2 linked regions of the Neodiprion lecontei genome follow. The protein of the gene in region 2 purifies or fractionates together with the protein of the main gene of each other region. This does not show direct contact. Links are inferred from orthologs where the notes say so. Each region holds a gene or a part of one and is shown on either strand. Other genes may lie near its edges.

Evidence for each region.
Region 1: the proteins of cyclin-dependent kinase 20 (region 2) and peptidyl-prolyl cis-trans isomerase FKBP8 purify together in Homo sapiens (affinity purification with mass spectrometry; 5 studies listed by BioGRID and IntAct, with this or other methods). This does not show direct contact. The link is inferred for Neodiprion lecontei from reciprocal best matches to the Homo sapiens genes CDK20 and FKBP8.

The regions. Positions count from the first base shown.
Region 1 is NC_060264.1:8,164,299-8,170,141, reverse strand, and holds peptidyl-prolyl cis-trans isomerase FKBP8, read right to left. Parts: upstream 3,898-5,843; 5' UTR 3,725-3,897; intron 3,688-3,724; exon of another isoform or gene 3,399-3,687; intron 3,312-3,398; 5' UTR 3,300-3,311; coding exon 2,991-3,299; intron 2,855-2,990; coding exon 2,655-2,854; intron 2,417-2,654; coding exon 1,814-2,416; intron 978-1,813; coding exon 959-977; 3' UTR 674-958; downstream 1-673. Other genes in the region: peptidyl-prolyl cis-trans isomerase 5, read left to right, coding at 5,322-5,414, 5,823-5,843. UniProt on the Homo sapiens protein: Constitutively inactive PPiase, which becomes active when bound to calmodulin and calcium. Seems to act as a chaperone for BCL2, targets it to the mitochondria and modulates its phosphorylation state.
Region 2 is NC_060264.1:35,206,854-35,212,172, forward strand, and holds cyclin-dependent kinase 20, read right to left. Parts: upstream 3,390-5,319; 5' UTR 3,031-3,389; coding exon 2,845-3,030; intron 2,775-2,844; coding exon 2,586-2,774; intron 2,335-2,585; coding exon 2,098-2,334; intron 1,802-2,097; coding exon 1,574-1,801; intron 1,509-1,573; coding exon 1,350-1,508; 3' UTR 811-1,349; downstream 1-810. Other genes in the region: inactive selenide, water dikinase-like protein, read right to left, coding at 4,761-4,913, 5,167-5,319. UniProt on the Homo sapiens protein: Required for high-level Shh responses in the developing neural tube.

The sequences.
Region 1 (5,843 bases), about 27 Mb from region 2:
CTAACATTGACCCTGCAATAAAAATCTATATTTTGATGATAACACATTGCGCAAAAAAAGAATTTTTAGCTAGATATCACGACTATATTTTTTCAGGTCGTGTAAGAGAAATTTCTAGTTTGAATAATGTTACCTAATAATGTAGGTACTAGAGGCAAAAATTTAGTTTTAGAAAGTGACAAAACTTCAGTATTAATATTGTAATATATAAAAATGAATGCATATAAATTTTATTGATAAATTATTTAAAATCGTGTATTACATTGGTGGAATGTTGAATATGAAATAAAAATAATATATACATAATTGCACAATGATTTTCCTACATTTTTGCATTTCCGAGCATTGATCTATAAAAACTTATTGCTTTGAAACGGTACAAAGAATAAGTAACGGCACCAACAGTGGGACACTACTTGGTAGTGGGACGCTTTGCTATTTCATTGTAATAATGAGTGGAAATTTTAATTGTTTCAATTTTTGTTCATTGAAACAATTGAAATTTCCACTTATTATTGCGTTGAAATAGCCAAGTGTCTCAGTACCGGGTAGGGTCCCACTACTGGTGCTGTTATATGTGAAGATTTTCATTGAACTTAGACAAATACTCATTACCTTCAATATTCCAGAAACTTCTCTGTTAAAATAATGTAACAAGTACAATACTCAGAGATTAAATTTAATCAATGATTTATTTGGTTAATTAATATTCACACTTGATTTAATTCTAAGATGCCTATTATTTAACAAGTATTGTATTAGTTTTATCACTCAATAGTCAGTCTATAACATTGAATTTAACGACAGTTTAGTTGTCCAGTATAACTCCACTTTAAACGAAAACTTCTCGAGCAACACAGAGTACTCAGTTTCATATGCGCAATTGCACAAGACTCTTCTTGCCAAGCAGTGATATCTCCAAAAAATCCAATCGCACTAATGTTGTCAATTCATTTAGTCAACTGCAGCTAATTTTCCTTTATTAATGATGATTCAATTATTTTAAGCATCACATAACACGATAGATAACAAATTTGTCAAGGGCAAATGTGCACAGATAATGCACGCCATTGTTTTCAATGTAGAAGAAAATAATGATTTTAGTTTACTATACAATGCGTACAGTGTTTAGTTCGCTTGTATGTATAATTCTCGTATCAAAAGTTTTTTTTCACTTTGTTTTATTCAGATTGCATGCAGAGTAAGGTTAATTACAATTCGTTTATAATAATTGTTGTTAATCTATGATGTTTCAAGGAATGTTCGGTTTTGCTACTAATTTGATTTGTTACAAAATTATGTCTTTTTTAGAGAGTTAACCCTGAATCCCTTTACATGTAAAGTATTTGTCTTTAAATATTGAAAAAGAAATGCTACGTTTTTGGTACGCAATATGATTCTCGATATCAATCATAAATCTCTTTCTGATAAATGCAAGTAAACCACAATCATAAGAAAACCGAGAATATATTAAGGTAACATCAATACCTCTTATAGAATAAACACCAAAATATATATCGTATTATAGACAAAGTGAACAAAAATTCAATAAGTTAGAATATCAGATTTGTTGTCACAAGGACACTGTCGGCTCTTATAAAGCATCAAAAATGACTTTTTTCTCAAAATAAGTAATTCAATAAAAGTCAAATAATCATGTTGTACAGAGTAACACACACAAGGCCAACATAAACATTTTTTCTAATTTTCATTCATGATATCCATCGGCTTCCATCTTTGTAGCAAGTAAAATATTGTGAGATGTACGTTATGTATTGAGAGTATGATGTATTAAGTTTAGAAAATGTTATACCTGTACACAATAACTCCTGCTATAGCAGCAACAGCCCCTCCAATCAAACTCCATGCTATAGTGGAAGGTGTAGTCTTTGGGTTTTGATTATTGGTGTTTTTGTTTGGCGAACCATTTTGCTTGTCTGTTCCGAGCATCTTTTTGTACAAATTTTTTTCATGTTTGGCATCTTTGGCTGTTTTTTCTTTCAAAATAGCCAATTCTTGCTGGATTGCTTTCGAGTCGGGATCCAGTTTTGCAGCTTGTAGCAAAATTGCATAGGCAGCAGCACGTTCCCCTTTATGTTGTAAAATTTTACCTTTCCTAAACAACGCCTTGACATTTTTTGGCTGACATCTCAGGACATTTTCCACACTTTTCAATGCTGCGTCATATGCCTCTGTTTTCATTTGCGCTGCTGCTAGGTTATTACAAACTTTCATACGATCTTCTAGCAAAGCTTGGAGGTCTGCGTTACTTATAGACTCTTCCTGATCACCCTGGGGATAATTTATCCCACCTTTAGTTTCATCCAAATAATCCAAAGCTCTTCTATAGCATTGAACTGCAAGCGATGCTTCATCTCGAGAATACCACCAATTTCCTCGCTCCCGTTTTTTATTCCTATGCAACGTGGAATATTTTATGAAATAATAATAGTATATTCGATTACATGAATTGCCATTCCGTTTATACAAGTGACAGAATAATCTTATGGTAAGAGTGCGTATTATTTGATTTTTTCTTCCAAGTTGGAAAGCGACGGGAATGAATTTAGAGAAAAAATGGAATGAGAAAGATTGCAAAAATCCTAATCAAGCCATGTCAATTAGCTTCCAAGTCTACAAACTCATTTGATTACCCAATATTTTTCCTTTGAGCAATGCCCAAGGTTTCAATTTCTGGTTCCATTTCAACAGACAACAACTCGATAGTATAAAAAAGTTTAGCACCACCAGGTATGTCTGGTTCCCTTCCTAGGTCGCCATAACCAAACCGAGCTTCAACTTCAACTTCAGCAACTTCTTCAACATCCATTAATGCAATAACCAGATCTAGTCCCTGTTTTATGCATATATAAATTATTTGGCATAAAAGAAAAATTATTGAATTATTCCAGTACGCCATAAAAACACTTTTGTATGACTGTTAACAGTTTCTATATATCTTTAATTCAATAATTGCCAATGTATCATACCTGTATCACTTCGACATCTCCCAATTGAATGGTGAATTTTTCATACTTTTCAACGACAGTTCCATCTTCCAATTTTCCAGTCAGATTAATGCTACAAATATCTGACCGATTTGGCCTTGTTCCTTTCTGTCCAGCTTTGACTACCTTCTTTTTCAATTGACCAACTCCTAGTACATCCATCCATTCATCTTCTTCGTGATCTTCAAGCGTAGCTTTTGTTAAAGGATCTTTCAGGTCAACATCAAAGTTGAGCTCATTCTGAATGAAATCAGCTTGACTGCCAGCGTTATCAACAGTTTCGTTATCCATTTCGACAGTGCTCTAATGACAAGAGAAAAGTCGGATGCAATTGTAAAGAGCAATTGTATATACACGTAAATCATCGTGTCAAGTAATAACATTCCATACTTCTATTTTTTCGTAGATTATGATAATCCGGCTAACAGTTACCGGCAAATTGTTATTACGAGGTAAAAATTTGACGACTGATTTTGGTTATGTTATGATTCGTCACGGTCGTTTTCATAAACAAAGCAAGAATTTTTCAAAAGCGAGTAAAACAAAGAATGCCGAACTGAACTTATTATTTCACCGAAGTAGGAGCACAGAATATTAGACGAATTGTGCAAAATCATCATTCAACATCACGCACGATATTGAGTTTCTATGAATATAACCAGACAGACACAGGGATAAAAAAATTATACGCGAGTATGGAATTTGTCTATACGTACCTTTACTGGTTCGGAATATTCACACGAACGGCTCGTTGGGTTATGTAGAAGATTAATATCACAGGTTTTTTCGATAATTATTCGTCAACACCGCGGTCAAACGCACGACCGCGCAGTACACGAGAAATCAACTCGTCTGACAATGAATCATGTATCCGCCTATGGTATCCGCTAGCGCCCGAACCGATCGCTACTGCTAGCAGACGATTTAAACGCCGAACTTTCAAAAGGTACATAAAGTCATCACGAAGAATTCTGTATTGCTCGGCTTATCGTAAAACAAAATAATTGCTGATCAATTAAATGTGTTTGTTCCTTTTCATTTCTATAACCGAAATTTTTCCTTATCTTCAACTAAGATGTTTGAGGAAATCGTATAGTGTGTACGAAGGAGGCAAACTCGGTCTTTCCGAGCCGAGCGTCAGCTTGCAATATAAGTCGTAGGTAAAGCCGAAGATAAATATTGCAAGTACGCGACGTGATAAAACCGTTGCCTCCTTTTTGCACTAAATTCTTCATATAACAAAAGTATGTTATGCGTTTTTTCGCGAAGCACAAAATTGAGGTTAGGGTCGCGTAATGTCAGATTTGATCGTGACAGCGCATGCGTCCAGTAGAGAAAAGACCACTTTTAACTCTGAGGACTTAGAAGTGGTCTTTTCAGTACTCTGCGCATGTGCATTCGCAGATTCATTCGACCATCATAGAAACGGGTACTTTGTCTACGGAAAACACGCATGGAAAAACGCGTAAATCAGGATAGGGTTACATAAAAAGAGTTTCTTTTCTTTGCCATTATCTTTACCTCTCGTCCTCGAACTTGATCTTTGAAAAATGGACATCGGAATTTATTAATTCATTATCGGATTAAATTTACTAAAGATATGTGTCAAACAACAGAAGACATACTGGAACCATACTACGAACGTTTTTTGCTCCAAATAGTCAAGTCTTTACGAAAATATAGGGATAAAAATAACTCATTTGTGTACCGAGAATACATGAAGGTAATTCATATATGAAGGTTTTTGGAATTTAAGATGACTTGACTACACAGTGCGTTGACTATCAAAAATATTTATAAGTTGGTTGAGCTGCTAGACTATGAAGCGTCGTATATAGTCGATAGTTCAGACGTAATATAGAAATTGATCATTTTGTACATTTTTTTTTCTTCAATAGAAACGGTAAACCATGTTTTTTGTTCTCTTCGATACCTTCGCCTGAGATTTAAACTGTTAAATGACGCATAATATTTATTCATTCTCATCGTAAAACAGTGATCAGTTGCCGTGTGTATGTATTTACGTACGTATGCACGTACATACATACGTATATCGATGAAAATACGGCAGCACGACTAAAAAATATTTCTCCAGAGTAGAGAAGCCTTCGTTTCAAAGCGGCACCTCTCTCCTGTAATATACGTGGCAAATGCTCAGCCAATCAGAGCAGACCACCTATTGCTTTTGTCGGATCTGCGTCAAGATCCGTTGTCAGTTTAGGTCGGTATCCCTCGTCCTCGGTTCTCCCGGTTCTCCGCCGCTCCGTCCTGACATTCCTTCACATCTCGATTCGTTATTCTCATTAATAAATAATGAAACTCCTACTAATCTTCGGCCTCGTATGGCTGATTTCATGTTCTGGGAGTACCGCCGACACCCCGAAAGGACCCAAAGTTACAGATAAGGTAAGGGATACCAGTTTGTTGAAATATGTCGGCACGGGGAGACAAAGAAAAAAGTTCAACAACTATGCATTACCAAATAACAATGATGATACGATCCTTCGAAATAAATAGATTCGAATAGATTGCTTCACTTTTTTTTTCAACTCTCAATATTTTTCTTTATAATCGTCACATGCCCGCACAGAAAAATAATGACAAAGACAAAACGAGAGAGACGCCCAATGATTGTTTGCTCTTAATCTTCTTTCTTTTTTTAATTCATCAAGTTTCGGAATAATATCCTTCGGGCGTCAACTTTGATGGAAGCAGTGAAAAAATATTTCCTTGCGGAAACGCACATAATTGTTTATTATTCTATTTTTACTTGAGGTTTATGTGATTGCTAATTAAGAATATCTATTGTTTTAGGTATGGTTTGACATAGAAATT
Region 2 (5,319 bases):
AATTATAAAATTAAATTATTGTAAAAGTAACAAATTTAGCTACGAATAGGGTAATAGGAGAGTAACAAAATAAATGGTTAGCTTATATTATGTATGAAAAAAATTGAATAATGCAAAACAGTTGAATATTTATACGCTACTTACTGCCCGTGTTGTTGGTTTCGTTGTCAACAAAGCTTTCCATTATTTTCTTATGAAAAAAACTTGAAAGTCAAAAAGGAGAAAAAGAGAACGGAAGGAAGAAAGAAAACTAAAAAGCTTGACTCAATTTTAGCTTCAAAATATTTTTATTTCTTGCAGAAAATCTATATTCCTGGTACATTCAAGTAAACAGAAGATTACAAAACGCTTGCAATTATTATCGCGATTACAGGTGTTATTGCAATAAATGAAACATCGTCTAAAAGGACAAAAGAATGCGAAAATAAAATTTTTAAAATGGTTCAACAACGCACTGAAAGAGAAATTCTTTTCAATACATACTATCGTCGCTCCAGCGCGAAGAAAACCAACAATAGGGTAGACTAAATTGAACAATATATTTTTGACAAATTACAATAACGCAGATATAAATGTCAAAGCAACAGCCATATGGACGATTATTCATATAGGTATACCTTACTCATGGCTTGATTATGGCTGTCTGTATCACATTTATGGCACATTTTGTGAGACAATATTGTAAGCATTTTACACGTGAAACTATATTCTAGTGTCATTATTGTCATCGTTACTGTTATTATTGTCATCGTTACTGTTATTATTGCTGGTATTACTTCGCTGTCTTTTATCATTATCGACATTCTCGTGTATATCATTGCACTCGCTAAGAATATCGTAATTATTTAGTATCATCAGATCTCGGAAGAAAAATTAATTTAACGCGCCGACTATGTTTTTTTTTTTTAATTTCTTTAACGAATCTTTAATCAATAATTGTCCGTATGGTTATTGTCTAAGATCTACACATAATCACTAGGCTACTACTGTACAATAATAAATTTTAAATTACCTAATATAGTAATAAACATGGAAAAAAGTTGCTGATCATTTATATATTAAAATTTATAATGTATGCAATGTGAGGCCCTTTAGCAGTTGCCTTCGATCACTCACACGTCTTGTTACTGATATTCTTTGTTATTTTCCACAGAGACCGCGCCTTAGCATTCTATTCTCAGAAAAAATCAATTGAAAACGCCAAGTTGTTTTACCGCTCTGGGATTTTTAACGAAGGAATTAGCGGTTTTGCCTTTCTAGAAGTAAGCCAAATAGAAGTTCTTGGGTAACAGTCGGATGTCGTAAGATCTTTGCAAAATATAGTCATCGACGTAAAACGATTAGCAAGGTTACACGATGCTCAACAAATTTTGAAACAAGACTGTACGTTTCAAGTTTCCTTTAACTTCTTCCGGCTTTACTTGAACCCGATGATCCGGCGTTGGTTTCGGCAAAGCAGATTCAGGGCAGGGGAACGGCCGCGAATGAAAATATAAATGTTTTAGTGCCTGAAACAAGAAGTCGTTAAAGAAAATTAAGTCTGTCTGATTACACTGCTAAGAATCTAACATACCGATGAGGCAGTTAAGCGTTTCGATGAGTTGTAGACTAGAAGCTGTTTGATCAGATCTATAGCATCCGGTGTCGCATCTGGTACAATCAAATCCCAGGGTAAACCTTTGTGGCACGGGAATGTGATTTTGTTGTAATCTGGCAGAGTAGTCAAATCGGGCCAAGATTCCGTCGTCGGCGAGCCAAGCAGTCTCAAAACGATAGCCAGCTGCTCGATGTCAGTTTCTCCCTAAAACAGACCGAAGGACAGGTGCGCAATTGCATGTACAAGGACGATGCAACTGATCATCATATTGAAGTTAGTAACGTTATTGTAACGATTGATGCCGTGGAAAAACCGTCATTCCGCCATTTTGAAATTGCCTAAAATTCAGTAGACCGTCATAAAACAAAACACACTCGTATTTTGAAATCTTAGTCCCTTAAAAATCATTGTAAAATTCAGGAAATAGTGATTCTTTCCCCGATTTTTCGTGGCGATAATATTACCAACTTCAACCTCGTAACTTTTGTATCCACGCTTACGGCGAATAAAGGCGCGCTGTTAAGTATTTCTCCGAAAATGCATCCCACCGCCCATATGTCTACCGCTGTAGTATAATAACGTGCACCGTACAACAATTCCGGTGCTCGATACCATCGTGTTGCAACTCGGTGCGAATAGGAATGACTGTTGTCGTCCCAGACCAATCGGCCAAGACCAAAATCGGCTATTTTCAACACGCCCTCTCGGTTCACAAGCAAGTTGGCAGGTTTCAAATCCTAGGAAACCAGAGTTTTATGAGTTTAAACTCTTTATCCAATTAAACTGATCAGCCTAACTTGATAAATAGTTGTTTAAATTCATTTAGACGGTTAACTATTGTGTAATTCAATGTCAGAGCTTCTGTCTGTCATCTTTTAGGGTATTGAAGTTTGGTGCGTGTGCATAAAATGTTGAAACAGTGTTCAAACCAGTGTAAGTTATTCATGGATGTAGGTTTGAAGACGCTGTTTAAACCCTCTAAACTCACCCTGTGCATGACATTATTTGCATGCATGTACGATACACCCTCGAACAACATCTTAACGTAAGTTTTCTTTTGAGAATCGTTTAGCGGCCTCTCCGAGTCTCTAATTATCTCCCACACGCCGGATGGCATGTACTCGAATACCATGACAAAATCCAAACCCACTGGGAAAACGTCGATTAACTCGACTACCTGTGGGTATCGATCATAAAGATGGTTAAAAATTATGAAATTGACCCGCAGTTGTGCTGCTATTCCTTACGTTGCGGTGTCTCAGCTCTTGCAGAGTCTTGACTTCTCGTAATACGGAGGTCGGAATACCCTCGTCGATCTTTTTGAGCAATACTTTTTTCAACGCCACCTCATTGCCCTGCTCGACGTGATAAGCTTTCAATACCAGCCCATGCGCGCCTTCGCCAATCCTTCCGACCACAACGTATTTCTCCATCCCGGAAACTAGTATCCGATTCTTCGATTTCAAATCTTTGCCGTTTCAATTCTCAAAGCGTCATTTCAAGCGTCAGATTCTTAATTTTTGAATTGCTTTCCAAGCAATATATTTCGAACTTCCGACCGTGGCGCTGTCTTGTCAACCACTCGAAACCTGCACATAGACTATACAGACACACTGCCTCTCATAGTTCAAAACAAAACACCATGACAATGGTCGTTTTATTTTATCACATCCAAGCCCATTAGAGGTGGTTCCTGGTGCTGTACGACCGCTTCGGATAAAATTCAAGTACCGTTTCAACGACAGAAATGTAGCCTTCGTGATACCCTTACCTGTCGACGGTCTCAATACCACCATTTTGACAATCGCGTGCATCGATTTCATGGCTGACGTATGAGTTTAATATATGCATACACACCCACATCACGGTTAGGTTAGGAGGGTGTCGTACGATTAAGTGGCGAACGGTAATAACCAAGAGGCGACTATGTTATTGACAAAGTAGCGCTTTATTAAAATGTTATATGACAAATTTCACCCCCATCATTCTCAAAGTTTACCAACGTCTGTTTACAAATGTGCTCGCAGAATTATTATGGTCTGATTTCATAAACGTTTTTTAGGGTACGAATAATTGAGTCTGTAGAAAAGTACGGTATTAATTATGAATAACAAAGGAAAAATACTTTATGAAAACTAGAGCAATTGACTCAATCAAGATATGCAAATTATAACTTACCCAGATTCGGTAACTTATTGCAATCTGGGTGTAATAAGCATTTGAATTAGAATTTTTGTCATCTGTCTCAACGAGAATACATTTTGGTTAGCCAAGCTTGCCCGGCTAGTTCGCCATAAGCTTTTACTTTAATTCTCTTCACTTTCACTCTTCATTATTATTTATAGGGAATTAGTTTACTCGGCCTCATCGTTCCGACGCCAACTTGCCAGATAAATTTCGGTTTGATTATAACAGAGTTAATCTTTCCATTGTTTCTCTACAAGCATATGCATAATAGCTACGCCCCTAATAGTCAAGGATTAGGAAATATTGAGAAAAGAAAGCAAAGAAAAGAACCAGGAATTTGGAACAACATTGTCAAAATAAGTCAACATAATTACACGTAACTGTTGAATTGAAAATTTTCTTTTTCTCACTTTGTTTATGCAATTGAAAGTGATTATAATATCAACGTTAACTGGAATTTGCTTTCATTTTCAGATGCACTCAACGTTGAAATTTGATAAAAAATAAAAAATCACAGTTTCGTCTTGTATAAAAGCAAACCGTTGTTTTATATTTTATAGTAATTATGTTTTTCATATATGTATAATGTATATATACTAGCTGATGATATCTCTTCATTAACTTGTTTTACTGGCGTTGTTTTCCTTTGCCTCTTCGTTTTTATCTTATACATGAATTGTTCTACGATCATGTATTGTATAAGATAAAAACACACACACACACACACACATATATATATATATATATATATACACATATATATATATATATATATATTTACGTATATTAGATATTATCAAGCTCCCCAAGAACTTGGGAAACACAAAGTGGTTTCCCGTCTATTCGATAATCCGATCAACATTCGTGGCGATCTTACAATAATTGCTAACCAACAGCTATTAGCACTGCAAGATCTAACCACCTTGAATGCGTGATACCAAACTCATATAACATAATCATCCGTAAGATCACTCCTCTACCAGAGTTCACCATCTTTTTCCTTCGCGGGTACTTCGATGACTCGCGGTTTGTCGATTATCCTCGCTGTACGATTACCCTTCTCAACGATCCCGATGATCCATGCTTGGTAACCCTCTTGTTTTTCAATGTCCTTGCAATATGCAGCAGCCTAAAAATAAACGCCGAAAAATAAAGCTTGGATACACCTTATTGGAAACAAGCGTACACATAGAAAAAATTTCGATTGTTTAAGAGTTGACGACACCGAGTCAACACATTGTTGACGCAGCTTGGGAATCCTCAAAAATTTATCTTCCTGCTCGTTCTTTAGGACATTTTACCGGTCTAAAATGCCCTACTGTATTCAGCAGGTCCAAGTTTTTTCATTCTTAGGATTATTTTTTATTATGGTTATAGCAAACCTGTTCTCGTGGAAGACAGATGAGCAATCCGCCACTGGTCTCTGCGGAGTGGCCTTGAAGCAATTGGAACATGTTACCACATGCTTTAGCAACTGCTGCCATTTTGGCAATAACCGGAAGATTGTGTATAACGAATGAAACTTCATTCTTCTG